3 linked regions of the Tribolium castaneum genome follow. The protein of the gene in region 1 interacts with the protein of each later gene in a biochemical or structural test. Links are inferred from orthologs where the notes say so. Each region holds a gene or a part of one and is shown in the gene's direction. Other genes may lie near its edges. The genes, in order: Mer, beta-Spec and mahj.

Region 1 (11,582 bases):
TAACCGAACAGTAATTCATAGGTGAACACAATTTTTTTTCAAACATTTTTATTTTTCATAAGGTAAAAAAGAACTTGCAGTCGTTTGTTTTATCAACCGAGTTTAATTAAATTTTGCAAAGTAAATGAGTTTTTGGTTCAGCAGCGAATTAAATCAGGTGAAACCAGCTAGAATGATTGTAAAATTTTTGCAAAAACATGATTAAACACACGTTAAAATGTTAAGTAACATTTTTAGTACTTTGTGATTTTTTGACTTTTTAACGGAGCAGTGCGTTTCTTAAGTAAACAAAAACATACTAAAATGATCGAGAAAGGTTAAAAATAATGTATTTTTCTATTCGCTTTTCAAGCTATTGTCAAATTATACCATTATTGCACTCCATGTCACATTTAAATTTTCTGCTGTATCATATTTTTGTAATTAAATAAAATCAAAAAACTATTAAATAAGAAAGATGAAGAAAACTGTGATTTTGTGTTTCAGGTCCGAGGATGTGACAAAATTAATCCCATCGTGGGAACCTTGGTGGTCCCATAAATCCCCAAATGTGGAAGAAATCGAGTCTTGCCAACTGTACAAATCTGAATGTCCCCAGTTGATAAAAATTCGTGATTTTCGAGAAATTTCGGTAAATATATAGTTACTTATGCAAGGCACTTACAAATGTTCAGTCTCATTTTTATTTCTAATAATCTGTTTACTATTGTTTTGTAAGTTTGAGTAATTTTTAGAAAAAAAATCCGGCCGATTGCGTCAAATATAATTTGATCAACGTCCTGGCAGCGTACGCTTTTGCCACTCGTTACTTCAATGGTGAACATCACGACTTCGCCAAGGAGGTGATTAGCTGTGTTGTTACAATTTCTCTCACGTTGAAAAACAATCAGAATTTCGACGACTACGAAAGCGCGGTCAAATCGGTCGAATATGAGTCGATAATGGTGGTAACTTTCCCGAGTTACATACTTTATTTTTACTAGATTTTTTAGAGTGATTGGATTGTGGCCGATGGCGAAAACTTTAAATTATTACGAGACGATTTGGATAAAATTCTCGAAGGTCCAAATGCAACGGAACGAAATTTTTACGTATTGTGTGCCCTTTCGGACTTGCATCGACTACTCAACACGGCCAGTGTGAAAAAAACGGAAAAGAAATCATCGTTTAGTAAGAATTTCCCGAATGATTGTTTCCCAGAGGTGAAACTAGAATCGAAAAATAAAATTAAAACTTGTCTCAGAAAAATCGATTATTTATTATCATTTGCCAAAGATTTTGCGTTGTGATTGAATTATTTCTTAATAATTTGTGGTTTAAAATCGGGCTGAACGACTTTAGCCAAGAGTTCGGCATACATATCCAATCTTTGCGTCATCTGTAATGATTTTGTTAAAAAATTGAAACAAACCGTGGTTTTATTTATTACCTGGAAACTCCAATGGTCCCTAACTTGCCGACACAGATTCAAGTCCAGTTCGGCTATCAATAACCCGGTTTTGTCCCGAGATAATCCCTACAATTAACTGTGAACAACTATTTTTTAAATTAAATAATTACTTGTGATCTTGAGCCATCGGGGGCGGCTATGTAACTTGAGCCATAGAAATGTCCGAACTCTTTATGGGCGGGTTTGCCATCACCGGAAGTGAATTCAGTTTCGAAAATCTCAGTGCCAACGCGATTAATAGCACACGTGAAGTAGCTATTGGCAATGGCCGCATTTCGGGCCTCGATGCCCCACAAAGGCTCGCTTAAGTTACCAACAGTTGCCGACGGATTGAAGACGATTTCGGCACCATTTAGGCCAAACATTAACCAATTGAGCGGGTGGTGGCGCCCGTAACAGATATTTATAGCGATTTTGCCAAATTCCGTCTAAAATATTTCTTTAATGAAACACTCTGTATAAACCTAACAATTGGGGAAATATAGTCTAAGTCACGCCCAACAAAGCTGCGAAAGCAATTTTGCGTTTTCTTTACAAATAAGGGCACAATTGACTTTTCCCAGAAAAAGTGGCCACCCGGTATGCACAACTTCACCTGGAAAACAGGGTGCCCGGTATTTCCCTCAAAATAGTAAGTCGATTCGTTAAAATCCCCAACCCTGGGTATGTGATTTTTGCGGTGTTTCCCCAAAAAATCGCCATAATTGTCAATAACAACGGCCGTGTTCCAAATCGTTTGGCCATGCACTTCGTCACGTTCCAAAATTGGAGAAATTACAACCATGTTGTAACGTTTCGCCAACTAAAACAATCGCTTTATTGTGTGCCCTGACCTGGCCTAATATTTTACTTGTTGCAAAAAAATCGTAGTAGGCCCGAACTCGGCCACCTCTGCGTATTCGCACCACGGTTGTTTTTCGCGCGTGCAGAACGCAAACGGCATATCTTTGAAAAAATAAAAGACAGTCGAGGGAATATTTTGTTTCGGACTTACTCCAAGCCTCCTGGAAACAAAATATATTGACTCCTCCTTTCGCAGCCGTCTCGATTGCGTTTTGGGCCAATTTGTAAAGCCCGTCTCGCATCTCCTTGATGGGAGTGTTGGGAGGAAGGGGTAGTTTGTGTTGGAAAATGCCAACACGGACGATTTTCGGTGGTCTTAGCTGTTCAGGTGAGGCCTCGAAGCGACAAGAGACCAGCTCAAGGTCATAATCGTTTGCTTTTGTTTCGGCATCCGATAAATCGAGTTTGCTGTAGTTTGTTTTAATTTTGGTCGTTCTGATTGGACGCTTACCTTGTCGGTTTGCCGTATAGCACGTTTCGGATGTTTTGGTAATCATCAGGGGGGAGTTTCGATAGGATTTTTTCAATGCTGGTGAAGTGTTGTTGAGAAGACATGTTGAAATGCCAGAATTTTTAAAATAGAATTAATGTTTATTTATCGAGTTACGTCAGAAGGACAGGACCGTATCAGGAGAGTTGATAACGATAATTTGAATAATTCTATAACTATTGTCATTTAATTAATTGTAATCAAAATTAATGAGGTGTTATGTTATGTCACTTGAAAATGATTCACAAGAATAAGGGGTCTATAATATTTAAACACTTGTTCAACTAATAATTAATTAATTAGTTACAACACTGTTGTATAATTATTTATTATTTATTTACTTATGGAATTAAATGTAAATAAGTATAGCTTTTATCTTATCAAGTGTATTCTCTGTCTTTTCCATTTTTTAGCAAATTTTCAGTGACCTTTATTCTACTAATCAAATAAGTAACCAAAGTTTAATGGAAATTATATCATACTGAAGGAAGCTGAAAAAAGCTGGCGCTTTTTTTCGCAATTATTTGTACTCATTTATGGTAGCCACTCAGAAAACTTCTTTAGTTAATCACAAAATAGAATCAAAAATTACATTCATGTTTACAATACTTTTCAGTAAAATTTCCAATCAAAACCATAATTTTTAGTGCAATTTCGTCAAAAGTAAAAAATTAAAAAACATAGCGGATTTTCAGGCGTTAAAGCAACTTTTCGAAACAAAAACAATATTATACAGGCTGTTCCGTCTAAACTCCACATTAGAAGTATAGAAGTTGGTACTCAGCCACAATCCTTTGAGTTCTGCTCAATCTAAATATTTTTAAGATGGCAGCACTTCCGTTTTTACCAGAAGTCGCTATCAACTTTCTCATTTTAAATGGAAAACTATGTTTTTCACTGCGTTTTTGGATTAGTTAAGTTATTTTAAGGGACTTTTTACCAGCTTTCTCTTTACCGTTTTTAAGATATTTTGATTTTTGAACTGGAAAGTGCAAATTCAAAAAAATGTAAAGACCGTAAATATTTCGTAAACGACTAAATTTAGTTATAGGGAAAGCTTTTAAAAACTACCTCAGAATAACTCTAGTAATTCAAAAATGCATTAAAAAATATAGTTTTCCATTTAAAATAAAGAAGTTGATAGCGACTTCCGGTATAACCGGAAGTGTCGCCATCTTGAAAATATCTTCATTGAGCAGGACCTTAGAGGTTATGGTGATATACAAATTTTCAGATGACTATCATTATTAGAACTACCATTACTTCTAATGTGGGTTTAGACGCCACACCCTGTCTGTTAAACTAAACTAAAAATTCACAATATTTGATCGAAAATAAATTTATTTTACCACTTCCGCGTCTATAAGGCCAATTATTTCGTGAAAAGTCGTCAAATAAAACCAAAAAATTGCCCAAATTAATCGGAAATGGTGTTATTGTTGTATTATGCATGTTTGTAAACTAAAAATCAATTAATTTTTAAAAATTATCCAAAAAACGCTGAATTTTTGAGCATTTTTTCAAGATAAAAACTCGGATTTTCTCGAGATTATACGTTGTTCAAAAAGAAACCCAACTGTTTTGAGAAATTTCTTCAAAAATTAATTTAAAAATGAACACAAGTATCACATATTTTGAGCGTTTAAGCACGTTTATGACTTAAAAACTCGGCCGTTCGCATGATATTATTACACTTTGTTTAAACAAAAATCCAGTAGTTTTGAGAAATTTCCTCAAAAATTAAAAAAATTAACACAAATAGCGCATTTTTCGAGCGCATAAGCACGTGTTTGGGCAAAAAATTCGGCCTTTCGCATGTATTACACGTTATTCAAACAAATACCAAATTGTTTTAAGAAATTTTTTCAAAAATATACGGAAAAATTAAAAAAATGAACACAATGATCGCATTTTTAAAGTGTTTAAGCATGTTTTTGAGCTAAACGATTGGGTTTTCACATGATATTACACGTTTTCAAACAAAAACCCAATGGTTTTGAGAAATTTCCTCAAAAATAAATCGAAAAATTAACACAAATATTATAATTTGTCACATTTTTTGAGAGTTTAAGCAAGTTTTGAGATAAAACGCGTTTTTTTTTTCGATATTAGCGTAAATCGAGTTAAACATGTTCTGAATTTGATCGAAAATGAGTTAATTTTTCCACTTTTTCACCCAGAAATGCAATTATTTCGTGAACCATGAAATCACCGAACTGAATCGAAAAAAGCTATACTTTTATTTCAAACACGTTTTTGAGCTAAATACTCAATGAAACCGAACAAAAATTAAGCCTCATAGTCAAAAATAAAATTATCAAGACCTATTCCTGATTAAATTTTTATTAAAAAGCAAGAAAAGCAATTTTTGGTTTTACAATTTATTCAAAAGACAAGAAGCTTATCGGAGATCTGTTTTACCGGCCAAATTTTCCTCTAGACTTTTGTGATTAAACTAAAATAAAACCGACAGGAGCATTATATAACATTTAGCGTTACAAACATTAAGATATAGATTGAAACCGCCCACTTGAGCCCTTTCCTGGGGCCCCATCGCCCGAAAGTCCTAGTAATTTCCCGCCATTGTGTTGGTATTCCGAATTGACATCTGTCAATGCCATAACCGAGATGTTTGTGCCTTATTTGTTGTTGTTATTTTACGGTTGAATAATGCGATAGGTTTTACAAAAGCGAGGATTATGTTAGAAAAAATGTCTCCATTTCGCAAAAAGAAATCCGAGAAGAGTTTCCCCGTGAAAGTGTGCACATTGGACGCCGAATTGGAGTTCAACTTACAAGTATGTTTACCGTCTCAATTCTCCAAACTGTGAATAATTTTCGCATTGTAGTGGCGAGCCACCGGCAGGGATTTATTCGAGCTAGTGTGCCGCACAATCGGGTTACGCGAGACTTGGTATTTCGGTTTGCAATACGAAGATTCAAAAGGGTTTATCAATTGGTTAAAATTGGACAAGAAAGGTGGGTCTGGTGCTGAGAGGGCCCCCAAAATCATGTGTGTGTTTCAGTCCAAGACCAGAGCATCCAGAAGGACCCCCACAGTACGGTGTCGTTCATGTTTTTCGCGAAATTCTACCCCGAAGAAGTGGCCGAAGAGCTGGTTCAAGAGGTAACAAAACACTATTTTTTTCTCCAAGTTAAGCAAGCTATTCTCTCTATGGATGTGTACTGCCCCCCTGAGGCGTCCGTCCTGCTAGCCAGTTACGCGGTCCAAGCCAAGGTAAATAGTTTGAGGTTAATGTTCCCCCTGTCTAACAGCCCCCAGTTTGGAGACTTTGACCTAGATACGTACAAACCGGGAATGTTAGCGAACGAGGATTTGTTGCCCCAAAGAGTCATCGACCAGTATCAGATGACTCTAGACATGTGGGAGGAGCGGATAAGAGTGTGGTACTCAGATCACAGGGGTATGTCGCGAGACGAAGCCGAGATGGAGTATTTAAAAATCGCACAAGACTTGGACATGTACGGTGTTAATTATTTTCCGATAATGAATAAAAAAGAGACTGAGTTGTGGTTAGGTGTAACACCTCTAGGATTAAACATCTACGAAAAGGAAAATAAACTACAACCAAAAACGACGTTCACATGGGCCGAAATACGACACATTAGTTTTGACGATAAAAAATTTATTATCAAACCGGTCGATAAGAATTCCCCAAATTTTGTCTTCTTTAGCCAAAAAGTTAGAATGAATAAATTGGTAAGTGGGTGTGGTCTGAGGGGGCGTGGTTAAAACAAATGTTTCAGATTCTTGATTTGTGCATGGGTAACCATGATTTATTCATGCGGAGGCGTAAACCCGATTCTATGGAACTCCAACAAATGAAAGCCGCCGCCAAAGAAGAGAAACAACGTCGGCAGATTGAACGAAATCGTCTGGCACGTGAAAAACAATTGAGAGAGGAGGCGGAGCGTGAAAGGGCCAATATGGAACAGCGCCTGCTCCAGTACCAGGAGGAAATCCGATTGGCTAATGAAGCTCTGGTAAGTTTTGATTGGCCGAAAGCCCCTCTTACAGAGTTGGGCATAAACAGATTATAATGTAGTTAAATCAATAATCTAATTACAACGTAATCGCATTACTTTTTTTCATTTACATTGTAATTAATTATGTTTTATTAGCTGTAATAAGTTAATTGATTAAATTGAACAGTAGATGATTGTTTTGAAAAATCATTCTTTAAGGAGGTTTTGTGCTTTATAAGAATTCCACCCCCAAGGGGGTTAAATTTTGTATAAAAATCTGTATTTTTTTTAAGTTATACCCATGAAAATCGTTATTTGAGTTTTCGGTTAAAAATGAAAATGGTGTTTCATTGTTTTTTCAAGTTCTACTTACAAAAATTACGGATTTTTATAGGAAACCCCCTTGCGAATGGATTTTCTACTTGTTTTTTTGCAAGATTTAAAGCTGAAAAATCATTAATTTAGATAGAAAATTACTATCTTTTTGCCTCTTTCAAACGTTTATCTGAATTTTTAATTGAAAAACCCAGTTTTTTTCGCAATATTAATAAAACAGCTCAAATTTGATCGAAAATGATTTTGTTGTTTTATAATAATAATTCTAATAAGTTATTTTAGGGCCTTTAAAAATACCTTTACATAAAAATGTATAAAACAGAAAAAACAAAGAGCAGTAAATTATGTCGAAATCTGTATTAATTTTTGTTTTTTTAACGTTTTGGAAGAACGTTTTTGATTTTGCTAAATCGACTCAAAAAGTGGGCTGTTTCGATCGATTTAGTTCGTTTTTAAACGGTTTTTAAACAATGTCGAATTAAATATAAACTTCAGATTAAAATCAAAAAACATATTTCCAACTTCGAATTAACTTGACTCTGAGGATTTTGACTTTAAATTTAACTGAAATAACGAGTCTTAGGGATGGAATTTCCAAAAATCCTAAAACATTTGTTTTTGATCTTTAACCAAAAGCTTAAATACCAATTTTCATGGATATAACATAAAAAAAACATACTGATGTCGCACTTACTCCAAATCTGTGCATGCGTCTTATAAAACTCGTAATATACTATTCTATTTGTAATCTTTTAATAAAAAATTTGCAAATTTATTTAAAATTTGGAAAAAGATAACATACTGAAACGTGAACCCAACAAAAGTTAGAGCCCAACTATTTTCGTTGTGCCAGAAACGGACAAACTAATTATTAAACACTGACCGAAAATGGAGGAAAACATTAAAAATTATAAAGAAGAATTTTGCAAAATGTTATATAGAAAAGTTGTATTTCATGAGTTTTATTACGTGTTAAAACTAAAACAGGTATTTCTAATACACTCTGTATAATATTAAGAACTGTCCTGTTATGTGAATTAACTTGGAAGGAGTTCATTGGAGTGACAATCTTAAGTGTCCGTATTGAAGATTCTCCATAATAAAACGATGTTCAATCATAAAAATGTTTTTTCTCTGATTTTTCATTATGAAGTTGTTCTACAGCGAATGAGTGCAGTATTTTTCACGTATTTTAGATGAAATTACCACAATGTGCACAATTTTGTAGTAGGAAAATAAATATGTTATTAAACTAACAAAAATAAAATTGTATTCTTTATTTTACATTATTTCTTATTGCACATTCCAAAGAACACTTTTTTTTCTAATATCTAGCACGTGTCTCTTATGTACATTTTTATGCAGATTCTAAAAACGAACTCAAAAATTGGCCATCACGTCAGGTTTCTGAAACAAAATATTAAATATTTTTAGAAAACTCATAATTTCACTGTATATAAGCGAATTTTCTTTTATTACTATAAATAAACAATAAAAGTCATATTAATTGACACATTTAAACATGTTTAAGAAGTTGTTTAAATCAAAAGAGCATATCTATTGCGTTTGCTAAATCTATATCTATATATCTATTTTCTATATCTATGTCGTGCTCGAACGCATCATACAAAAGATTATTAATTGTTACTTATTTTGCACCAAAACCTTTTAGAATGTTCTGACAATCAATATTAAAGGCAAGTAAAAATTAAAAATTACAAAACCTGACGTGTACAAACACATATTTTTTTGTTATCATCCACTATACAGGGTGCTCAAAAACTGGCGCACCAACTCAGTGGTACGTTATTGAGAAGCAAGTGCAGATTACGGGAAAAATGTTGAAAAAATTCCTAAAGTTATATTTTAAAAAATCTGGAGCTACAAACTTATTGTGTTAACTTCTTTAGTTTTCATTATTTTTTATGTTTTTATGTTTCATACCAGGTAATCGTTCCGTAACAAAACGATGAATAATTATTTTTAAATTTACTATCAGATTTTAGCAGTTTTTTTAATTTAAAAAAATTAAAATTTATCCAAAAAATCACAATGTGTGGATGTGCCAACACTGGGAATTATTTCCTAGGGAACCGTTGCAAAAATAATTTATTTTTATTGTTGCTCAAATTCTATTGCGATCATGACTGTTAGACAACGTTGCCACATATCATTTACCTAAAATTTGTTATTTATCAATAACTTTAATACAAAGAATTTTTTACTATTTTTACCTTTATATGTAACCACTTTTCTACCACACACCATTGAGTTGGTGCGCCAGTTTTTGAGCACGCTGTACATAAAATAAAATTAATTTGGATATAATTTATTTAAAAAAAAAACAAAACAAATAAAATTTGTTGTCCAGTGTAATACAAATACAGGGTGCTTAAAAACTGGCGCATCAACTGAGTGGTACGTTGTTGAGAAGCATGTGTAGATCAGTTTCATTCAGTTTTCATTATTTTTTAAGATTCTTATGTTTCGCACTAAGTAATCGTTTCCTAACTAAACGATGAATAATTATTTTTAAATTTTCTAACAGACTTTAGCAGTTTTTTAATTTAAAAAAATTAAAATTCATCAAAAAAATCGCAATGTGTAGATGTGCCTAGAGTTCCTATATTGGGAGAGTTGGGACACTGAATGTCAATTTTCGAAATTTTGTTTTATTTACGTCGGTTGGAATGTGTAAAAAAACAAATTGGGATAGAAATCAGTGGTGTTACACTTTAAATTTGCCGAAAAGTCAAATTAAATTGTTAAAAAATGTTCCCATTTTTCGTCGACTAACTGCGTTTAGAAATGGTTTAGACTGGCAGTCGTCGTCAATTCACTGTTTTTTTTATATGAACTCCAAATTTTAAAAGAGATTTTTTTGTAAGTACAAGAATTTTACGTCTAAACTCTTCATCATAAACATTTTTTCCTTAACTTTAAGAAATGGTAATCGTCGATGAAAGAGAGAGAAATTGAACCTTTCCTGCCAAGTTTTACGTTTATTATTAACAAGCATTTGGAAAAGTGGATTGTCTAAATAATGTTATGTACAAAATCTATGAGATTTTGGGAATTTGTCTATGCATTTATAAAATATGTAAGTACTTGAACCCAAAATTGGTTCTAATTTTTAGGAAAGCTGAACCTGTCGCTGCTTGGCCGCCTTTAGCATCTACGTGAACTTTAGATTATGTTTCAAATTATAAAGTTATTGGGAATTCACGATTTTGTTACGTTTTTCATACGAGAACACCTTTAATATAATTTTTTTGAAAATTTAAAAAGACGACAGGAAATATGAAGGGTTCTTGATGACCAATTTTTGGGACGAGATGTTTAACTAAAAATTGTGACTGAAAGAAAAGCATTTTTAGCATTGAAGTATGTTTTAAGTTATGTATTTAATATTAAAATAAGTATCGAAAAATTTCAGAAATGTGAACATTAATATTGGTAGGTATTCAATTATTTTCATTTTTTAAATAGCAATCCCAAAATTTCTACGTTTTCTACGTCCCTGGTTAAATTTGACGTAAAATTATGTCATTTTATGCATTTGACAAAAATTATAACCTTGAAATTAATTTCGACATAAACCTCTGACATAAGTTAATAACAAAAATTTTAATAAAAAAGGATAGAAATATATACCTTATCCACATAATACAAAATTGGCTCGGTTTGACGTTCAGTGTCCCAACTCTCCCAATAAAGGAACTCTAGATGTGCCAACACTGGTAATTATTTCCTAGGAAACTGTTGTAAAAATAATTTATTTTTATTGTTGATCAAACTCTATTGCCATTGCCGTCTCGAGACGGCAATGCTATTGCGATCATGACTGTTAGACAACGTTGCCACATATCATTTATTTAAAATCCGTTATTCATCAATAAATTTAATACAAAGAATTTTTTTACTATTTTTACCTTCATATGTAACTAGTTCTCTACCACATACCATTGAGTTGGTGCGCCAGTTTTTGAGCACGTTGTATGTAGGCAATTCACCACCCACACTTCACTGAGTTGGTGCGCCGGTTTTTGAGCACCCTGTATATGCAGCAAAAAAACCTTACGAACACATGGATAACCTAGAGGTAGAGGTGTTAGTTTTGGTGATTTAGTTATCGTCTTTAGGGACAAGGTGAATTGTTTGCTTTTCTCATGTTATAACCTTTATGTTTCTCTTTCTTCAATGTTTGGCAAATGAAGATATTTTCTAATTTGCAATACATTCATAATCTCCAAGTACAGTTTAATTTGCATTCAGCTTTTGTTTTGAATTTTCAAAAATAACAATTGGTGACAGAACGGTTCGGAAACAACATTCATCGGAAATTTCTCAAGCCAAAATTTCCAAAAATTGAAATTTTGTATTTAATCTCGATTTTTGCATTCTCATACCATCTAATGGAATACAATTATCCACTTGTTTCCATGGCAACCATTAGTTCAAGTTATGAAAACTGAG
Region 2 (10,834 bases), on another chromosome or scaffold:
GGTTTCATTGGTCTCAGTTCTGCTATGTTAGCTTTGTAAAACATGACCAAACAGTACATGGCCATAAACTGTGATATGTTGTTGACAGCTATCAGATATGGAAAAGCCACATTTCCTTTAAATTCGCCGTCACCATAAACCCCAGACACTTTACAGATGCTAACAAATTACACAATTAATAAAATTAAGTAAACACAGTTGAGTAAACATACAAAGAAATGGCAGTGGTTAGAGGCCTAACAACTGTATATTGGAGAATTCCGTGCTTGCAGATGTGAACGAATTCTCTATAAAATTGCATAAAGTTTATTTGACGTGACCTGTAGATTTGAAATTATGTTGGCAACAGCAGATTAGTTAATGCTGCCAACTTAATTTCGTACACATAGTATCACCTTCCCATTTCCCAGTCAGGTAAACAACATAGCGGAAAAATGTGTTTCACTTGAGGTTTCAACTCAAGACTTGCCTCAAGATCCATTTCCATGTTCAAATAATTCAGCAAAAATCTCATAAAGTTGTATATTACATAAGCTTCATAGCATTCTCTTAAACTGTCCACATAGACTGACTGCTTGGGATAAATAAGCCCCAACCACTGTAAGACATCATCACAGCCAAAACCTTAAATCTGGTTACAAGTCATAACTTACTGCATTGATGGCATAAATGGGAACCATCCACAATATCCTAAAGTACAATAATTGCGTCAATATCGAACCGAACTGATAAGCCGTCTATAAAACCAATCACATTTTTGATATTATTACCTGATGATATGTTTCTGTAACTTGGGCTGGGTGTAATGTATGACATGCTGAATGATTTCCCACAGAGACAAAGGAATAGCAACCCAAACGAAGATTCCAGCAATCAAAATTTCTTGGTCTCGCTTGTTAAACCCATCCTCCAAAGACTTCACTAAGAATAAAGGCACGAAAACAAGAGCTGCTAACGCGTAAATAATAATCACCAATGGTCTTATCCATAATCTCCAACGGGCCAAACAATTAAAACAAGTTTCGAACGGCATTTTCAAAAAACATTTTACATTTTTGACACTTTTTTGTTATGACAGATTTTTGACAATGGACTGGGCTGACATCTGACGGGCACTCGACGCAACGGCCACAGGGCCGGACTGTGCAATTTTTATTTTAGGGGGGAAAATGGCATTGTTTTGTATTGCAAATCTGGTTTTGACTATTTATAATTTACTACAACCCCACGTGGCCCTTCCCTGCCACAAAGGAAGTTACAATTAAGTAATCAAGCGAAATCAAGGGCATCCAACCTAGCGCCATCTATTCTCTACGCAACCAGCCTACTATGCGTTGGGCGTGTTGTTATCGTAATTATGCGCATGCGTAAACGAGTCTCGTTAATAGCCGTCATGAAGGGCGTTTGTGTTCGCGAGGTGGTGATTTTATAAAAATAACAGTTTTTTAACTTATGAATGTAAGTTTATCAGTGAGACCGACGATATTTAAGTAGTAACGATAACAGGTAAGTCATCGTTTTTTGCCGGTTGCTGCGGTTACCAATAATGTCGATAAATCTTAACCCAAGTCTCTTAAAATGGCCGAATAGGTGTAACCCAAACTTTACTAAACTGTTAAATAATTCAGTAGAACTGTATTGACTGGCTTTTTTCACTTTCAGTGATGATACCTTTATTCTGGTTGTTGAGCGAATTGGCCTTTTGTCGTTGATTCAAAGTTCAAAATGCATTTGTTGCTATGTCAGTGAACTTGGAGGTGGTTTACAAATGTAACCCAGTGCCGGGTTACTGCCCTTAAGGGACAGGTCAACTGTAATAATAGCCGCCCTACAAATTTATTAATTTTGTTAAATTTCAATATTATCTTTAGGTAATATTATGTAGCTTCTTTTGATCATACTTTTTCCAGGTCAAGAGTATGGTCATAATCCCAAAATAAATTGGTAAATGACTGAATGTCACATTATTTGATAAAGCTAATGATGGCCTATAAACTCTTGTGTCTTTCGGTGTCTATTAATATCTGTGATGCGTGCATGAGTCATATTTGTTGTAAATAGTATTAAATTTAAATTTTTACGTAATCATCAAGTTGTTACATAATAATAGTGCAAGTGTTTGTGTAGTAGGATTGTGTTCTTATCGCTACAACTCTTTCCTTTTAAACCTGCACATTTTTTAAACGTTTTATCACAGTTCAATAATAATGTTTGTGTAGTAACTGAGTAAATATGACTGTTCTAGTTTCCATAGTCTGACTGTTAGTTCAGACTGTGTTAATTAGCTGCCTTGTGTATAAAAATCACACATTTTTACTTCAATGAGACATGAAAAAAGACAAAGTTCACTTATTGCTCGTGCTTACGCATTTGCTTTTAATTTAATCTAACTAATGAGCGTTTAAAAACGTCATATTTCTGACAAAATTATGATCGCCTAATGATAGTCTTTAAAGACTTTAAAAGGACTTAGGTGTACTTGTACTTGTACTCTCTTGTATGCGTTTTACAAAAGATTGTAACATTGATTAGTTTAAATTTGAATTATGTTTTACTATATTATCAGTTTTTCGTATAATTTGGCATTGTCTTGTCAAATAACTTGCTGAATGATATAAACGTCATTCAATAATATTTGTCAGTTTGACAAACTGACTTTAAATTGAAATAACACTGTTAAAAAACACTGCTACCAAAAAAAAAATTGAAGTAGCTCTTGTTTTCGTAATTTAATCCAAACTTGAAATGCTTAATTCCATGATCTACCACAACACACCTGTTTTCTGATAGGATTACATATAATCATAAACAAATTGCGTCACACTTCCTTACCTAGCAAATATTGAAATATACATACAGGGTCAGTAAAATATATTGAACCATGCATTTTTTTAAATTCTTCGTGAGAGATAAATAATAATAGTATAATATCTGTTTCAAAACTAAAAACAACTGTCACTTTTCGCAATTGGTTTTCTCTTTAGATTCGTGAGTTTTCTTGGCATTAAATTTAACGCAGAATCACACGGAAGTACATCAGTTTAAATTTGTGATCTATTTGATCCTAAAAAATGTACATGCGTTGTTGCCACTTTTTCTACAGTTTTAAGTCAGATAGTAGTGTCCTCATGTTTTGAGAATGAAATATTGTTTTATTTTCAATGTCAACTTATCATGAACAGTTTTTACGACAAAAATGTTTTTATTAAAGATAATGTTATTTAAAAAATAGTTCAAAAACGCAAATTAGTTTTTAAGGCGACTACGTAATCAATATTTCATCAGTTAGCTTTTTTTCAAAAAATAAATAACTTAGGCAAACGAAACTTAGTTTTTTTGATTCACCTTATGGTAAAAATAGTACGTTTTACTTTAAAGACTGCTAAGTTGTAGCTAAGTAACAGCCAATCATATTGTGAAAACAACACTTCTTAATTATTTTACCTTTACTTATATAAAATTTTACTTAATTTTGAATTGGAGCCGTTTCTAAATCAATCAGCAGCTATGTAAAATTTAAGTAAACTACTGGCACTCCCAAAGAACATAATATTGTCTGTTTAGTTTAAAATCACTCAACGAAATAATTAACATTTATTACAGAATAGGTAAACCAATTGCTCATCTTCACATATATACACATAATTATTTGTAACATTACCAATTGGTCCAATTTAAAAAATAAGTCTTATTCAACTCTGTTCGTTGTTATTTTTAATAACTTTATTAAGGCAGAAAGAAGTTTTATTGGTGCTTACGTATTCCACAAGCACCCGATATTAATGATTACTTACAGGAAGCATTATGTATGTTTCCGCCGTTACTGCTTTTAGAGGGAAATTATTGATTTTAATGGAAGACGTGCCTTTAGAAGGTTACGCATTTTGTGTACAGAAATGTGAAACGAATATTTGTGCACAGACTTTTTGTTTTATAAGAACTGAATTAATGTAATTTCTATTTTAATTAATAAACTTCATCAATTACCACGATTTAAGTAATTTGCTAATTGGTGCTGTTATCACGCCAGTATGTTTTTAGGTCAAATAAATATTAATTTTGTCATGTTCTGACGTGGTGGTTACATTAATGTGTTAAATAAAAACTAATTTACATTTCGTCTTTTTTAGTTTAGTAGATGACTAGGAAATACTTCATGGGCAAACAGTTTTGTGACTTATAATTGAAATAACCTTCTTAATTTTCATTGTGCTGTAAGTTCGAAAATTATTTGCAAGGTTCCGCGATTTATTCTGAAATACTTGTACCATTTTTAATAATAAGCATGTGTTGTTTAAGATGATCTAATCCAGAAGCAATTTTAAATACATCTAATCCTAACCAGAAGCATTAATGTTATGTAAACAAATAAACTAACTTGTGGGTGGAACATGTACCGTAAACACAGTTGTCTGTAAGATTTTACGTGCATGGGTTTTTGATCGGTCTTATAACGGTTCAAATTCGTTGATGATAAATTTTTACCAAGCAAATATATCTTGTTTTACTACTTGGAATGGGGAATTTCTTGACAAAAAGTTACTATTTTCCGAACACAAATTGGCTCGAAAGTAGGTAATTTGTGTCAATATTGGTTTAATTAGTGTCTGGCGTCTCGTTTATGGAGCAACGTTGATGCTTAATTCAATTAGGTTATTAATTACTTACCTATTAAGGTATACATGTTTGAAGATGCCTCAACGTTACGTATCAGAGTTTTGTTTCAGTTTTTACGTACGATAAATTACGTACTAGCGTAATATTAGTGATGAATGGAAATGCTTGAATAGGGTGTGAGGATGGCGTGAATTTTTTATTACATTCAGGTATTACAGTTCGTTGAGCACTTTGCCCGCACATGCCGATTTTTGGTGTTTGAATGTACAGGCATCTGTTTTAATTTGTGCAAAGGCCAGGGTGTTAACCTTGATTAGAAAGTAGTGGCATGAATCCAATAGCTCTTATCTAATTAGTTGATTAAAATAGTAAAGTAGCCGTAATGGCTATTATTACTGTGGTAAAGGTCAAGCACCCTTCTATTTGTACCCACTGTGAGTATGTAATATTCGGTTTGATTGAAGGTAATTGGCATCGTCACTGGCTGGCAATGTTAACTATGTCATAGTGTTTGTTACATCATCGTGAATTATCTCGAGGTAATGTATTGCGAGAAAAATAGGTAATTGTACCACATCATTCACGTCCCCAAATGTGCGTTTTTTGTCATTTTAGGGCGCAAGAACCCATTCATTACTTGTAACTAAATATGAGTTACGTTCGTCATTTGTCAGGAAGTAGCCCAAATATGGCCTATTTGATGAAATCATCATTCACTTTTGTTTTATGGCGGTTTATCCTCGATTGTATTTTCTGTACATGTTTTCGTAACATATTCACTTATTTTTGTTACTGTAGTCATCTTATCAAACAATGGCAAATCAAATTAAATCTGGTGTTATGTAATAATCTGTGATCACGATCTGAAAAAATTAGTCGAAGCGAAGATGTTTTTATTGACACAAAGCCAATCAATGTTTGCGGACATTCACTGAAGCTCTAAAATGACAGATCAGTTTCCTAAATCTTCGATATTCAATCCCAACTTGACCCAATTCGTCCAGCTTCAGTCGAGGTCGTCGCTTGCGAATTTTGCGCCGCCACCGGCAGTTTTACCGCACTACAGATCGAACCAGACGCTGCAGTCCGGCTAGCGAGTGGTTCGGCTAGGTCAGGCGTCGCGACGCCAGAACTGGCTGCCATCGTCGTGTGTCTGACGTCGCCGAGAAATCGATTTACCCAAATAGTTCCTGATTCAGGTTTTCAACCTTTTTCACGTCAGCTGTGTACTTTTACATTCAGTTGATTCGTATTACGTGCAAGTGAAGATGTACTCGCGTACTGTGTGAACAAGTGTTTGGTCGATAACACCGAATGTGGCCGTAATTACATTTTTATTAGTTTTCGCTTTTCTGTTTCATTAATTTTGCATGGACTTACCTAAAGCTATTTTTAACAAACACAAATTAGGAACCCATCAAGTTGGGATTGTTAATCAATATTTCAGGGTGAATAAGTGAGTGATGCCGATTTGGGGAAATATAAGAGTGTCTTTGTTGCTTAGAACAATGTTAGTTGTGTTAGTTGAAGGTCTTTCTCACTACGAAACACCCACAAGAGAGTCTGTGTGGGAAGAATAATTTCTTTATTAGTTACGACAGTTAATTTAAATCTTTTACTGCATTAACTATTTTGCATCAAATTCGTCAGTGCTAAAAATAAACGGTTTAGTGACACAGCGGCCTAAATAATGTGCCTTTTTTCTAGGTAGCCAGCTTTGCTGGTGAGTCAACAGAATGACCACCGATATCAGTATAGTGAGGTGGGATCCCACCTTGCAGCAAGAAATTGTCGAGGACTATGAGTACGATGGTGGCAATTCATCTTCCCGACTTTTCGAACGATCTCGCATTAAAGCTTTAGCGGGTAAGTTTACGATGCAACTCTCAATTTTTGTGGCACTCTTATCTAATGTATTTTATCAAAACCAAACATTTCCTGTGTCAAGTTCAGTGTGTTTTCACCATACATTTAGTTAACAGAAAAATGGAATTGGAGGTGGATAAATATTACGACAAAATAGTTTTAGAATTGCGGGGTAAATACACTCAGTTTGTAACTTTTAGTAATTTTTTTACACAGATGAAAGAGAAAGCGTCCAGAAAAAGACCTTCCAGAAATGGGTGAACTCTCACCTGGTGCGGGTGAACTCCCGCATTACCGATCTCTACACCGACATGCGAGACGGCAAAAATTTGATTAAATTATTGGAAGTATTATCGGGCGAACGTCTGCCTCGTCCAACCAAAGGAAAAATGCGAATTCACTGCCTGGAAAACGTCGATAAAGCTCTCCAGTTTCTCCGAGAGCAACGTGTTCACTTAGAAAATATGGGATCGCACGATATTGTGGACGGAAACCCCCGACTTTCGTTGGGTTTGATCTGGACCATCATTCTCCGATTCCAAATTCAAGACATCACGATCGAAGAGACGGACAACCAGGAGACCAAGTCGGCCAAAGATGCACTGTTGCTGTGGTGTCAGATGAAAACAGCCGGCTATAATAACGTCAACGTTCGAAATTTCACCACTTCGTGGAGGGATGGTCTAGCTTTCAACGCACTTATCCACAAACATCGTCCGGATTTGATACAGTTCGAGAAATTGTCCAAATCGAACCCCATCCACAATTTAAATAATGCGTTTAACGTGGCTGAAGATAAACTGGGATTGACGAAACTTCTCGACGCTGAAGACGTGTTCGTGGAGCAACCCGACGAAAAATCAATCATCACATATGTCGTTACTTATTACCACTACTTCAGTAAGATGAAACAGGAGACGGTCCAAGGAAAACGTATCGGTAAAGTCGTCGGGATTGCGATGGAAAACGACCGAATGATTAAAGAATACGAGTCACTAACGAGTGATTTGTTGGCGTGGATCGAAGCCACTATCAAAGCCTTAGGGGAGAGACAATTCGCCAATAGCCTTGTGGGCGTGCAACAGCAATTAGGCCAGTTCAATAATTATCGCACCGTCGAGAAACCACCGAAATTCGTCGAGAAAGGCAACTTGGAAATCCTTCTTTTCACACTACAATCCAAGATGAGAGCTAACAATCAACGACCTTACACTCCGAAAGAAGGCAAAATGATTTCCGACATTAACAAAGCCTGGGAACGATTGGAAAAAGCCGAACACGAACGAGAACTCTCCCTGCGTGAAGAACTGATCCGACAGGAAAAACTCGAACAATTGGCCGCTCGTTTCAACCGAAAAGCCAGCATGAGGGAAACCTGGTTGAGCGAAAACCAGAGATTGGTCTCGCAAGATAATTTCGGCCACGACTTGACCGCGGTTGAAGCCGCAGCCAAGAAACACGAAGCTATCGAAACCGATATTCTCGCCTACGAAGAACGAGTACAAGCGGTTGTCTCAGTGGCTGGGGAACTCGAAGCTGAGAATTATCACGACATGGAGAGGATTAACGCACGAAAAGAAAACGTCCTACGCCTTTGGAATTACCTCCTGGAATTGCTTAGAGCACGTAGACACCGATTGGAATTGTCCCTACAACTACAACAGAACTTCCAAGAAATGCTCCACATTCTCGATGCCATGGAGGAATTGAAAGCACGTCTTTTGACGGACGACTACGGCAAACATCTCATGGGTGTTGAAGACTTGCTCCAAAAACATAACTTACTCGAAGCCGATATTAACATACTTGGAGATCGGGTCAAAGCTGTGGCAAATCAATCGCAACGTTTCCTGGACGTGGAAAGTGAGGAAGGTTACAGACCGTGTGACCCAGCCCTAGTACTGGAACGCGTGCAACAACTCGAAGATGCGTATGCTGAGTTGGTTCGCTTGGCTGTGGATCGCCGATCAAGACTTGAGGAAAGCCGCAAATTGTGGCAGTTCTACTGGGACATGGCCGATGAAGAAAACTGGATCAAGGAAAAGGAACAGATTGTTTCAGCGGCCGACATCGGGCACGACCTCACCACTGTTAACCTGCTCCTAAGCAAACACAAAGCTTTGGAGAATGAAATCGCAGGGCACGAACCCCAGTTGGACGCTGTTGTGGGAATTGGGGAGGAATTGGTCAATTCCGGGCATTTTGGTGCAGAAAAAGTGCAAGAAAGATTGACGGAAATCCGCGGGGCTTGGAAACATTTGCTAGACTTGGCGGCTTATCGCAGGAAGCGATTGGAGGATGCCGTCGATTACCACCAACTCTTTGCAGATGCTGACGATGTCGATATTTGGATGCTGGATACTTTGCGACTGGTGTCGAGCGAAGACGTTGGCCGGGATGAAGGCAATGCACAGTCGTTGCTTAAGAAACATAAGGACGTTACTGAAGAACTTAAGAATTATGCCAGCACCATCGAAGCCTTACACCAGCAAGCTCAACAGTTGGGACCAGAAGTTGCCGACTCGCCAGAAGTCTCGCAAAGATTGGCTTCGATCGATAACCGGTATAAAGAACTGCTCGAATTGGCCAAACTCAGAAAGCAACGTTTGTTGGACGCACTCTCCTTGTATAAATTACTGTCGGAGAGTGACGGAGTCGAGCAATGGATCAGCGAGAAGGACAGGATGTTGCAGACCATGGTACCGGCACGTGATATTGAAGATGTCGAGATTATGAAACATCGCTATGATGGTTTCGAGAAAGAGATGAACGCAAATGCTTCGAGAGTTGCTGTAGTAAACCAACTCGCACGTCAGCTGTTACACGTCGAACATCCCAACTCTGAACAGATCACAGCTAGACAGAACCAACTCAACCAGAAATGGGCGGAATTGCGCGAAAAAGCAGAAGCGAAACGAGATGAACTTAACTCAGCACACGGCGTGCAAACATTCCATATCGAATGTCGTGAAACCACGACATGGATCGAAGATAAAATTCGGATCCTACAAAGTACTGATAGTTTGGAGATGGATCTGACTGGTATTATGACACTTCAACGACGTTTGTCCGGCATGGAGCGCGATTTAGCCGCCATCCAAGCCAAGCTCACTTCTTTGGAAAAGGAAGCGTCCAGTATCGAGACAGAACACCCGGAGGAAGCAGCCGTTATCAGGGAAAGAATCGTTCAGATACAGATCATATGGGAACGACTGACCCAAATGTTGAAAGAACGCGATTCGAAATTGGAGGAAGCTGGCGATTTGCACCGCTTCTTGCGCGATCTTGACCACTTCCAAGCCTGGCTTACCAAGACCCAAACCGATATTGCGTCCGAAGATACGCCCAATTCGTTGGCCGAAGCGGAAAATCTCCTGTCACAGCATCAAAGCATTTGCGAAGAGATTCACAACTATACCGACGATTACACTAAGATGATGGAATATGGGGAGAAAATCACTGCCGATCCCAGCACCCAAGACGACACTCAGTACATGTTCCTGAGAGAAAGACTGAAGGCTTTGAAGGACGGTTGGGACGAAATCCACCAAATGTGGGAGAACCGGCAGAAACTCCTATCGCAGTCTCTTAGCTTGCAGTTGCTTGATCGCGACGCGCGACAAGCTGAGGTGATTCTCAACCAACAAGAGCACACTTTGTCCAAAATCGAGACTCCTACGACGCTCGAACAGGCCGACAATCAATTGAAAAAGCACGAATCATTCCTTACGTCCATGGAAGCAAACGACGACAAGTTCAACGCAGTTATTCAGTTTACGAATCGTCTCATCGACGAAGGGCATTTCGCTTCGGATAAAATCGCAAAACGCGCTGACAATATTGACCAACGCAGATTAGCAATAAAAGAGAGAGCTTTAGCATTAATGGAAACACTGAGAGATCAATTAGAATTGCAACAATTCCTGCGAGATTGCGACGAATTGGGAGAATGGATCCAGGAAAAACACATCACAGCTCAGGACGAAACCTACCGATCGGCCAAAACAGTTCACTCGAAGTGGACCCGTCATCAAGCTTTCGAAGCCGAAATTGCCGCAAATAAAGAGCGACTACTTAATTTACAAAAGACTGGCGAAGACTTGGCTAAGGAAAAACCAGAGTTTGCGAGTGAAATTAAGCCGAAAATTGAAGAACTCATCGACCAATTTGATGTTTTGGAACAGACGACGAAAGAAAAGGGCGAACGCTTGTTTGACGCTAATCGCGAAGTACTCATTCACCAAACCTGCGACGATATCGACTCATGGATGAACGATCTCGAAAAACAAATCGAAAGCGACGACACTGGCGCTGATCTCGCTTCGGTCAACATCCTCATGCAGAAACAACA
Region 3 (10,965 bases), on another chromosome or scaffold:
ATGCTACCGAATCAAACAATAAAATGCCACAATGTGTATTTTTACCAACAAAGCCAATTATTACAAAATGTCATACAAACACGATCTATAAAATAAAAATGAGCGTCACGTTCGGCGCTCAATGAAAAAAACACGGGCTTAATAAGGAAATTGTACATTGATTAATAAAAAACGAGGCCGAAATCAGAATTAACATAAATTAATCCGAAATTTTTATGAACGGTACGAGAATGTACCGATTTCGTTTTGACACCTGCTTACCGTCTTGCATAATGCGATGAATTAACAATAAATACGCGACCTTCGATATTAAATAACCACTTACTTTATTACATTAATATTGATTTTTGCAGACTCCGGCAGAGCTCAACAAGAGCTGGCACATCCCCAGACCCACACTAGCTAGAAGCTCAAAGAGTTCGCAGGGTTCGACGTCTAGCAATAATAGCACACAGGTACAAATAAAAAAATTAAGACAAGAAAATCATTGGATTTTTAGAGTGCAAGGTCCGGTTCGTTACTACTGACAGCAGCAAATCTGGCCCAAATACAAAATCCGGACACGGACAAAAACACCAGACAACAAAACATTCAGTATTACCTCGAACAAACAAACAACAATGATCACATAGCACTGCCTGTTAACGATTTGAAGAAACCAGACCCAGATGCTGTTTCAGTGGCAAGTTCGATGCATTTTACCGTAGTTAATATGAACACGAGACCTGTGGTCAGGCAAAGAAGTTTCTGTCGAAAACACCAATTGACGATTCTAGTTTTGACGATGTCCGCTTTGTTTACCATAGGGATCTTGGCGGCGATATTTCTCTTAGAAAGTAAGTTCTTCCGCTTTCATTTCAGCCAATTTCCAATTTTTTATTGTTTCAGTGAGGGCGAAAAGACAACGGTACTAGGATTAGGACAAGCATCGACATTTCTCCAAAAATTGACGAAGCATTGAAATGTCGTGCGCACTTATCGTAGTTAGTTATTTAATTCCCTATTTAATTAGGTTTAGCAACTGGACCAAAATTGTGGTTGTTCTAAATCATAAGCTATCCATAAGTATTTTTTGATGTTACTGTGATATGTAAAAGCAATCATTACAGCATTGTATAGTATTTATGAACAATTTTAAGGCAGGTCCCGAACCTCCTTGGAAATCTTGTAAATTGATTTTTAATTAAATTATACAAATAAATTTTCTACAAAACTAAGACTTACCTCAACGTCTTGGAGAGTCTGCGTCCACCTGTACTTGTCCAAATCACATCCATTGCCACTGTTTGGCTTCAATTTCCCAATCTCTGAGGCATCCTCATCCTCTTCAATTTTCTCAACAGCTGGGGCCCCATTACTCACCCCACTTTTCTTAGCATCTAACTCGGCTTGCAACTTTTCAGCCTCAGCATCAGTCAATTCGGTGATTTCCGCCGGTTTTACCTTCTCCTCTTCTTGCTGTTTCTTCTTTTTGGCGGCTTCACGTTCCCGACGCTCTTTTAACTCCGTCTCGTGTTTCTTACGACTAACTTGTTCGTATTTCCTAAATGTGCTCATTACTAACTAAAAACCAGGTCATTATTTTTCGAACTGGCTTTACCCCGGACTACCTTTTCCCATGCTCCTTCCTCGCCCCCGGTGAAAAAATCCGTCTTGCGGCTTAGAAAACTCACAAAAGTGTCCAATAACTACAGTTTTGTCGTGATTTTAAGGTTAGAGTAAACAGATCGAGGCTCACCTGCGAAGCGCCGTGCGGATGGTGCTGGGCTATTGACAGGAAGAGGGAATCGAATTGCTCAGTCTGATTATCATCGCCACTCATCTTGACTGGACTTTTTTCGTGAAAAAATGGTCAAAAATCGTGGAAATTGCTAGACTTTTCTTCTATCGACCAAATATCAATTGTACCAACCAAACCAATCGGCGTGAAAACTTCCAAAAACGGTGCTTGTACCAACATTGATGGGTCAACCGAATGTGGGAATTTTAGCCAAACGGGGACCACCCTCAAATTAAAATTAAAACATGCAAAGGGGGTGTATATTTCGATAGTGCGAAGCTTATTTCCTATTCGTTAAATTTCCCAAGGGTTTATTTTAGCTCTGTTTTTTTTTTGTACCATTGGCGGCACTTTTTTAGTAACATACGTGCTCGATTTTTCAATGGAAGCCAAGAATTGTGTTTTGCGCTTTGTGAATGTGTATTGCGCCAATTTGTGAAATAATCAAACTGATTACGATTTTTTACAAGCCAGAAGTGTAGAGTTCACATTATCGCATTGTTTTTGCCAGTCTCCCGGTGTCCTAATTATCTCACCTTGCAATTACGGAACTGTAAAGTATTTTAGGTTATGTTAAACTACCTCATGCCCTTTATTTTATAACGTTTTGAGCCAATAATGTCGGAAAACAGCAATTCGACTTCTGTTATGTCAGAAGTCACAACTCTGATAAGAAACTGGGAAGATGAACATACGGCGCCTAATTATGACCCCATTCAGACACTCACCAGGTAGATCTTGCCTTAATTTGGCAAATTCTTACCCTTTTGTTGGCAGATTGGCCGAAATATGCGAGGTGGAGACTGAAAATTACCTGAAAATGGATCCTGACCCATTTGATGAACGCCACCCTTCACGAACTGATCCTGACTGCAAACTTGGCCAAATTTTAAAAGCGCTTTTTAGGAAGGATATTTTTATGAACAAAGTATTAACTCTCCACAAAAACATAAAAAGACACACATAAATATTTTTTCAGCTTGTTAACGATTATTTGAGAGAAACGTACTACTCTCGGTCAGGAATCACAGACAAGGATGTTGATCAGTTGAATATTGCAGCTTGTAGGTTGATGCTAGACGTAATGCCTGGCTTAGAGACATCAGTGGTGTTTCAAGTACGTGTCAATTATTTTTTTGGGGGGAAAACTAACGACTAGTTTCAGCCCGATATGGATAATTTGATTCACCGTTTAATTAAATGGACTACAAATTCAATAGAACCTCTGCAAAGTTACGCAACGGGGCTTTTAGCTGCTGCAATGGAAATTCCAGAAATTGCCACACGTTTTAGGTAAGTTTCCGCTTTGGTCTTATCGCAGTTAATTACCAAAAAATAGGGAACAAAACGGACGACTTGTGCCTTTACTACTTCAAAGACTGCGTAGGCTTCAAAATTCCTCGGAATTTTTGACCACGACAAATACTCGACCTTTTGCACACTTATCTTCAATGAAGTCGCCCCCTTATCGCGGTGACGGTGTCGTAAAAGTTTCACCCTCTGGTATTAAAAGGCGTACGTAACGACACCCTATTGTATTTTACCCTTCAATAATTATTCTTACAGCCCGCGAGAATGGAGTTATTCCAAATTCGAAAACAACACTTAATAAAGAAAACACTGATGTGATTAACACTAGTGAGGTAAGCGCGCCTTTTCCTCCTCGTGATATGGTCTCACGTTTAATACAGTTATCAGATTCGGAAAGCGGCCAAAAACGCAAAAAACTAAAGCTGGAGCACAATTCAAGCGAAGCTGATGAAGGCTCTCCTCAAAAACCCTTCCTATTTAACGAAACGAGCAATTCGTCGTGGGCAGAGCTTGAAAGTTTTATGATTGGAACCGTGCAAATTTTTCCGCCAACTATAGCAACGCGTCAAATACTCATTTTACGTTATTTGACACCGTTGGGTGAATATCAGGAGTTTTTGAGTCATGTTTTCGAAAATGACGCTCTTAGTTTGGTCTTAAAGTATGTGAATGTCCGAGCGACTAAAGAAGCAAGACTTGCATTTGAAGCCTTGAAATATCTTGCTGCTCTTTTATGCCACAAAAAATTCTCGATTGAGTTTATTCAAATGGATGGTCTTGAGGCACTTCTGGAGGTGCCAAGGCCGTCAATATCAGCCACTGGGGTCTCGATTTGTTTGTACTATTTGGGGTATTGTGAGGAGGCAATGGAGAGGGTTTGTCTGCTTCCGAAATACATGATCACCAGTTTAGTCAAGTAAGTCTAAGTTATACCTTACAGTTTGTAAAATCAATTAAAACTCATAATTTAAAAAAAATCTTAGGTATGCTTTATGGCTTTTGGAATGCTCACACGATTCGGGCCGATGTCATGCTATAATGTTTTTCGGTCTCACGTTTCAATTCAAAGTGATTTTGGAGGAATTTGATGCTCATGATGGGTTACGAAAGTTACACAATGTGGTAAGTTTATCCCAAGTAAAAAAAATTGTTTGCTAGAGTTATATGTACAGATTTCTACTTTATCAATTTTACTGCCGGACACCGATACGACTCAACTAAACGAAGATCAAGAGTGCGCCGCTCGTCAAATCGTTCGCCACGTTTGTGTTGCATACCGTCGTTACCTTGAAGCTCATCTAAACCTAAAAGTAGAACCAATTAAAAGATCACAACTTAGACTTAACGAAAAAATGGCACAGCCGCCTTTACCGGCGCAGCCGAGCTACAAACCGTACAAGTCATCGCCTGAAGAGGTGCAACAGAACGTCGAAACGTTGTTGCAATATATGCCGTTTCGGTGCCATTGGACGCCAGTTGATCAGTTACTCAAATTAGGGGGAATCACACTCTTGTTGAAAATAATCGCGTTTGCGTATGAGTGGAATTATAGTGGGAGGGCTGAGACGGTCAGGTCGGCTTTGGATACGTTGGCTATTGCGTGTGTGATGCCTAAAGTTCAATTGTTATTTTGTGATAGGGTGGAATTGCCAGAGGAGAGTGCCACAGTTGGTACGAGAAAATCACAGTTTTGGGATTTTTTATTGTTTTTTTCTTCTGTAGGGATTAATATTATTTTGGGGGCCGCTGAGGGTGAAATAGTGGCCGATGCTGATGTACAAAAGGCTGCGCTTCGAGTCATTGTCAATTGTGTGTGTGCCCCCATAAATAGGGTACGTTTTTTACCGTTTCCAGACGTTTGTTTGATTTTTTTGTTAGGTTGGTGGTACTTTAACCCGATATTCGGCCACGGTTAACAGCCCAATTAAGAAAATTAAACTCAAAAGTAGCGAAGAATTGATTCAGAGAGTTTGGGATTGTGTCAGGTCTAATAGTGGTATTATGGTTTTGTTGCAATTAATGAATATTAAAACACCAATCACTGATGCGGACTGTATACGAACTTTGGCTTGTAAAGCATTGGCCGGCTTAGCACGGTCGGAAACTGTCCGACAGATCGTGTCAAAATTACCGCTTTTTACGAGCGGACAACTGCAGAGTAAGTCTTGATACGAGGCGAATCCGAGTGGGGTAACAACTGACTTAATTGCAGATTTAATGAGGGACCCAATTTTGCAAGAAAAACGCCAAGAACATGTGACTTTCCAAAAATATGCACTTGAACTTTTGGAACGACTTTCGGGGAAAACGAAACATCGGGGAAATGACTTGGAAGTTTCTTTAGCCAACATACATAGAGCTAACGTTGTGGCTCAGACTAAAATTCAATTCAATGATCGGCAATTGTTACAACTCATCCACCAACATTTAATTACGAAAGGTTGTCCAGAAACGGCCTCTATGTTAGTGAAGGAAGCAAATTTGGGAAACTCAGTCACGCCCATTTCAACAAATCAACCAACCAAATTCCGATACTCGTCCACTCTAACACCATCTAGGGTAAGTAGCAATTCACCAAAGCTATAATTAAGTGTAACAAATGTCTTAGCTTAAGTTAAATTTCACTCCAATGCAACACCGCACAATACCGCAGTCACCAGTGCAAAAGGAGGAGACATCGTTTATTAATAGTTCCAACTGTACTTCCCCTGCTATTAAATTAATAAAGTATGGTCGTCATTGTAGATAATTATCATATTTTTTGCTAAGAAAAAATTTCAGGAAACACCAAAATCAAGTGGTCGCGACACCACCGGTCCAAAACTCCCGATTACAGAAACAAACGAATAGCGATGTTGTAGTTAGGGTGCCGAGTCAGAGCTTGCTTGACGAACCGACGAATCCACCCGAACAGCCCCGAGTCACGCTCGATTCGATCATAACCGAGTATTTAACCAATCAGCATGCGTTATGTAAAAACCCCATGGCCAACTGTCCCAAATTCAATCTCTTTATGTAAGTTTAAACTCCTATGATTGGTTGTGTTTCTGATGGTGTTTTCTAGTCCACATAAATGCCCAGACCCTAAACCAAAGATAGCCTCAGCCAATAATTTTGTGGTGAGGTGTGCGCGACGTGCTATTGGGTATCAGTCCAAGTCTATGGACCGGAAATTTATTCATTCGAGATTTTGTCCAGTTCAAACGATTCGGTCGTCGTCCGATGGCGATTTCTTCACTTGTGCGAAATTTTTACCGGGTGATAAAAGCATAATCGTGGGTGATTACAGTGGTGATATACGAATTTTTAATCTGCATACTGGAAATGAAGAGTTTATGTTTCAAACGCACGATAATTATATCGTTCATTTGGAGCCTAACAGGAGTGGGGAGTTTCTGTTGACGAGTTCCACGTGGGGGCGGCCTCTGTCCGCACTCTGGGCCATAAGGAACTCCGAGATGAAGTAAGTTTTTTACTTTAAGTCGAACTTAAAATTTTTTTGCGAAACTCGAAAATATCAAAAACAATTGTCTAAAAAATTAATTCAACTCGCAAAGCGATTTTTTTAACCGTTTGTATAAAACCATACAGTTGGTGGTCTGATTTGACCACTCGATGACCAGAAATGTTCGGTTCTGCGAATTTAGCGTCTAACTTGTGGTTTAGGTTTGCGCTGGACGATGAAGAACATGTTGAGTTTAGTAAAGTGACACAGGAGCGGATTGTGGCGACTAAACTTGAAGTTGCAACAGTGAGTAACACTTCACAGTTTGGCAAATTATAATTTTTTCAATTAGATTTACGACGCCGTCACGGGCCAATCAATCTTGCGTTTAGTTCCTACAGATAGTAACCAATACACTAGAAATAAAGCCACATTTAGCCCGTTCGATGATTTGGTTTTATCAGATGGTGTGCTTTTCGATGTCAATTCGGGCAAACAGATTCACAAGTTGGATAAGTTGAATCAGACCCAAAGTGGGGTGTTCCACCCTAACGGCTTAGAGGTACTTTCGCTTTTTTTGCTTAGGGAAATACATAGTTAATTGTAGATTGTATCAAATACTGAGGTTTGGGATGTGCGAACTTTTCATTTGTTGAAAACAGTGCCAGTTTTGAATCAACGTACTGCCGTTTTTTCACCGGTCAATAGTGCGATTTATGCCATTTCGATGGAACAGGAATTGGATAATGGTGACTCGACATTCGATTCGAGTTTTAAAACAGTGGATGCGATCGATTACTCGAGTATTGCTACTATTGACGTTAAGAAAAACATCTACGATTTGGCGGTTAATCGGTTCGATACGCAAATTGTGATTGTGGAGAATCAGGGGGTTTACCAGTCGGTTCAAGAGTCCGTGGTGCGGATCTATGATGTCGGGAGGAAGCGAGACGATGAGGATGAACAAGTAAAAAGTTTAAGTTGTGGTTGCGTTTTTGTTTATTTTTTGATGCAGGATGAAGAGGACGAGGAAGAGGAGGATGATGATATGGATGGGAGTGACGATGACGGTTCCGATAATGATGGTAATTGCAGAAAAGTGGCAAAAGTAATATAATGTTTTGCAGTCGATGTTGATTTTCTAGATCGATTGATGCTCAACGTGGGCGGGAATAACGACAACAACGATAATAACGCCAACAATGATGATGACAATGATGAGGACGATAATTTCTTCGATAGTGAGTCTGATAGTTGGACGACTACGTCGACTGGCTCTGATGATTCGTTCACGGATGATATGTTCGATTTTTGAGCGAACCGTAAAATAAGGTTTAAATGTGATAGCAATTCGAAAATAGTTAATTGGATGAGTGGGCGTGTGTCTGTTTTTTATAAGGAAAACGGCATTTGATGATTTTCCAGCTTGTGGTGTCAAGTGTGTTTTTAAATGTGAGCCGAGTTTGGAATTATGTTGAACATTGTGTATTATATTTCATAAATAAATACAATTTCAAAGGAACAAGCGTTTGATTTCGTGCCAAAAATCCTAGGACATTGTCCCCTTGCGTCAGCACAATTACGACGGACGGGTCAATAAAACCATCACTTTTTACAAATCAAGTTTATTGCTCAGTTAATGTCAAAAATAGCTATAAAAGTGTTAAATTTGCGAATACTGAATTATGAGTAGTGGTCCATCACGTAATAGATCCACTTTAGGTAGTTAAACACAGTGGTGTAAATGCCGTACTTGTTTTTCAAACCACAGCCGTCCCCAAAACTTGTGATGCCTTGGACGCTGTATGCGAGTCTTGAACGCCGTTTGAAGGGGCACATGAGCCCCCCGCCACTGTCCCCGGCGCAAGTGTCGGCCTCCCCTGACGACCAACCAGCACATAACATGTTGGGGGTGATGAGGAAGTGGCGGTAGGAACGGCGGCAGACGCTCGCCGCCACAATAGGAAGCTGGAAAAATAGTATATTAAAAAACTTTTGGAAATTTGGAGAAAAATTATAGCAGTCACCTTGGCCTCGTGCAGCGTGTGGGTGCCGTAGGTGTCGCTGGTCCTGACCTTGCCCCAGCCCATGACGGAGCAAACCTCCGAGGGCCTGGGCCTGGTCTTGGGCAGGCAAGCGATGGGGAGATTAACACTCCTTGGTAGTTGCAGTAGGGCAATGTCATTATCCACCGTTTTGTGGTTGAACTTCGGATGCTGGAAAATCGTGTGAACAGTCATCTCGAGCTCGCGTCCATCTCGAGCCCTTAGGTCATGTTCGTTCAGTCTTACGCGTAAAATCGGACGTATGCAATGACTAGCTGTGAGGACCCAACGTGGGCCTATGAGAGTGCCTCCGCAGAACACTTCCTAAAATTTATAGCCGAGGTTATCAAGCGTTGAAATTGACCCATTTCGGGATACCTACGTAGTATTTGTTTAAAATGGCAACGTGCCAAGGCCACTTGTACTTCTTCGATTCGGTGCCGCCGATGATTTTCAGCATTCGCGATTTGCGGAAAGGCTGCCCACAGCGGCGGCGCTGCGGGAGGCGGCGGTCCAAGTTGTTGTAGTGGTAGTAGCGGTTGCTTTCTTTAAAAGGAAACGAAATCATATGCAGAAACCGCTTTAATGAGGTGACCACAACTCTAATTTTGGAAAACTGCCTAATTTGAAACTTCTTAATCAGCGCACAATGCTTTTGGAGCAGAAATTATTAGGTCTAGAACGTTTTTTTTTACCTGGACTAGAAAAAAGCAAGTGGTAATGTAGTACATTAGTCCGTAATGATTACTATACTTAGAGGGTGATTCAAAATTGGTTTTGTTATAATTAAAATTAACTAATTTTATCCTTCATATTTTTAAGGGACTTGATATTGTATTAATAATCTTTTTGCTAGAGCAAATAGTTTTGGCAAAAATCGCTCGGTTCTAGGTATATTTTCGCCCAACGCTGTGTTTATATATTTTTATCATTATTTACTAACCAGCTTTATGATTATTTATTTATTGAACCGCAAATATTTGAACAAAAAGGGACCCGTTTTCTATTCGTGGATAATTCCTTACGCACCGTATGCGTCTTGGTTATCCAACAAGTTCAGAACGTAGTTTTCACACATGGAATTGTCGTGGTAGCAGTAGGCCGTCTGCTCCTGCTGCTTCTTCCTGCAGCGTCCCGGCTTCCTGCAAATCCTGATCCTCTGCGTCCTGCAATTCTCCGAACAGGGCGACCAGTTGGACCATTTGCTCCAAATGCGAGAAGGCGCTTGACGCAGCAAATGGCTACTATCCTAAGACAATGAATCCGTCTTAAAAAACACACTTGTGAATCCCCCAAACATACTTCGTTCAATTGTACGACCCGGAATTGTTTTTTCTGGCGCGCTTTCCTCTTGCAGCGTTTCTTCCCGCAGGGTTTTTCTTCGTAAATGCGGGAATCCTCGCATTTGGGGGAAATACACTTCTTGATCCTTCTCTGAATGCAGTCGATGCAACGGCTCCAGGGGGACCAAGGCGAGTAGCGCGCTTCGGAAATTTGGAGGTCGTGATGATGGGTCTGAAAATATGGCTTGCGTGACCCAATTTGGAGACTGCTAAATCGATTCAATTGCAGTTGTGCAAGGTTTTAAGGCGGAAGTGTGGGAAAATTGGAGTCATTTCCGGATTTATTTTTGGTTTCGCACAGTTTGGCGCGCGTTGGGACAATTTATATTGGGGCAATTAAGGGGAGAGGCTCAAAAAGGCCCTTGTTTTATTTAGACTAAACAAATAATTAAAGGCGGGATAAGAGCTCATTCAGGATTTGGTGATTTATTTATTTCAGGTTAAGTTTGGCGTAACACGCATTTTTACACACTTATTTATTTTAATAATGCGGAGAACGGAAGACACAAAGTTCAAGTTTAAAAAAATAAAAGTAAATAATAAACGAATTTTGATAAAAAAACGGTAACACCGCATTTGAGATTGATCTATAGTTACAAACAACGTATATTTTGGTGACTTGACCCAGTTAAAAACCTATTGTTCTGTTTCATTTTTGTAATAATTAAATGGAGCTGTGATTAGGTTGATTACGTGATAATACTCAATACGGCCCTGAGTTCGCGATGACACCCAGATTTATGGACGCTTTCGGTTTTATTTTAGTACCAAGCAGATTTATTAGAGCAACCATTTAAAAGGAATTTTTCATAATTGCTCGTATTTGTAGCGCGATCATTAAAATTTTTCTTCCTGAAATACTATTATTGTAAACTTGACTTGGCTAAATTTAAATTTCAAGACCAAATTATTTACACATCGCATCCTCTATAAAGTGAGAAAATAATCAAATTACAATCGTAGGCGATTTTGTAATTATTAAACGTATTCTATTTCAAAATATTTATTTATGTGGCAAAGTGAATTATTGCTGTATACAAA

What was found.
Region 2: the proteins of Mer (region 1) and beta-Spec form a complex in vitro, tested with the Homo sapiens proteins (2 studies listed by BioGRID and IntAct). The link is inferred for Tribolium castaneum from reciprocal best matches to the Homo sapiens genes NF2 and SPTBN1.
Region 3: the proteins of Mer (region 1) and mahj form a complex in vitro, tested with the Homo sapiens proteins (3 studies listed by BioGRID, with this or other methods). The link is inferred for Tribolium castaneum from reciprocal best matches to the Homo sapiens genes NF2 and DCAF1.

Annotation. Positions count from the first base shown.
Region 1 is NC_087401.1:7,788,623-7,800,204, forward strand, and holds the start of Mer (merlin), read left to right. Parts: upstream 1-5,362; 5' UTR 5,363-5,482; coding exon 5,483-5,581; intron 5,582-5,632; coding exon 5,633-5,762; intron 5,763-5,809; coding exon 5,810-6,021; intron 6,022-6,066; coding exon 6,067-6,504; intron 6,505-6,551; coding exon 6,552-6,788; intron 6,789-11,582. Other genes in the region: zinc finger HIT domain-containing protein 2, read left to right, coding at 487-631, 735-944, 993-1,289; pyd3 (beta-ureidopropionase), read right to left, coding at 1,295-1,378, 1,430-1,516, 1,561-1,878, 2,046-2,252, 2,301-2,395, 2,445-2,701, 2,745-2,848. UniProt on the Homo sapiens protein: Probable regulator of the Hippo/SWH (Sav/Wts/Hpo) signaling pathway, a signaling pathway that plays a pivotal role in tumor suppression by restricting proliferation and promoting apoptosis.
Region 2 is NC_087402.1:8,229,714-8,240,547, reverse strand, and holds the start of beta-Spec (spectrin beta chain), read left to right. Parts: upstream 1-1,348; 5' UTR 1,349-1,506; intron 1,507-6,324; 5' UTR 6,325-6,353; coding exon 6,354-6,483; intron 6,484-6,699; coding exon 6,700-10,834. Other genes in the region: transmembrane protein 184C, read right to left, coding at 1-159, 213-287, 396-598, 654-690, 771-1,033. UniProt on the Homo sapiens protein: Fodrin, which seems to be involved in secretion, interacts with calmodulin in a calcium-dependent manner and is thus candidate for the calcium-dependent movement of the cytoskeleton at the membrane.
Region 3 is NC_087398.1:980,171-991,135, reverse strand, and holds mahj (protein mahjong), read left to right. Parts: upstream 1-2,130; 5' UTR 2,131-2,398; coding exon 2,399-2,511; intron 2,512-2,557; coding exon 2,558-2,708; intron 2,709-2,759; coding exon 2,760-2,897; intron 2,898-2,945; coding exon 2,946-3,073; intron 3,074-3,119; coding exon 3,120-3,295; intron 3,296-3,346; coding exon 3,347-3,423; intron 3,424-3,471; coding exon 3,472-4,007; intron 4,008-4,074; coding exon 4,075-4,213; intron 4,214-4,263; coding exon 4,264-4,762; intron 4,763-4,813; coding exon 4,814-4,923; intron 4,924-4,969; coding exon 4,970-5,249; intron 5,250-5,303; coding exon 5,304-5,650; intron 5,651-5,699; coding exon 5,700-5,818; intron 5,819-5,872; coding exon 5,873-6,106; intron 6,107-6,155; coding exon 6,156-6,554; intron 6,555-6,757; coding exon 6,758-6,842; intron 6,843-6,888; coding exon 6,889-7,098; intron 7,099-7,143; coding exon 7,144-7,503; intron 7,504-7,551; coding exon 7,552-7,621; intron 7,622-7,663; and 3 more. Other genes in the region: uncharacterized protein LOC656652, read left to right, coding at 354-455, 500-836, 889-914; nuclear migration protein nudC, read right to left, coding at 1,225-1,563, 1,611-1,688, 1,739-1,822; trypsin-3, read right to left, coding at 8,220-8,504, 8,564-8,905, 8,964-9,127, 9,611-9,830, 9,884-10,096. UniProt on the Homo sapiens protein: Acts both as a substrate recognition component of E3 ubiquitin-protein ligase complexes and as an atypical serine/threonine-protein kinase, playing key roles in various processes such as cell cycle, telomerase regulation and histone modification.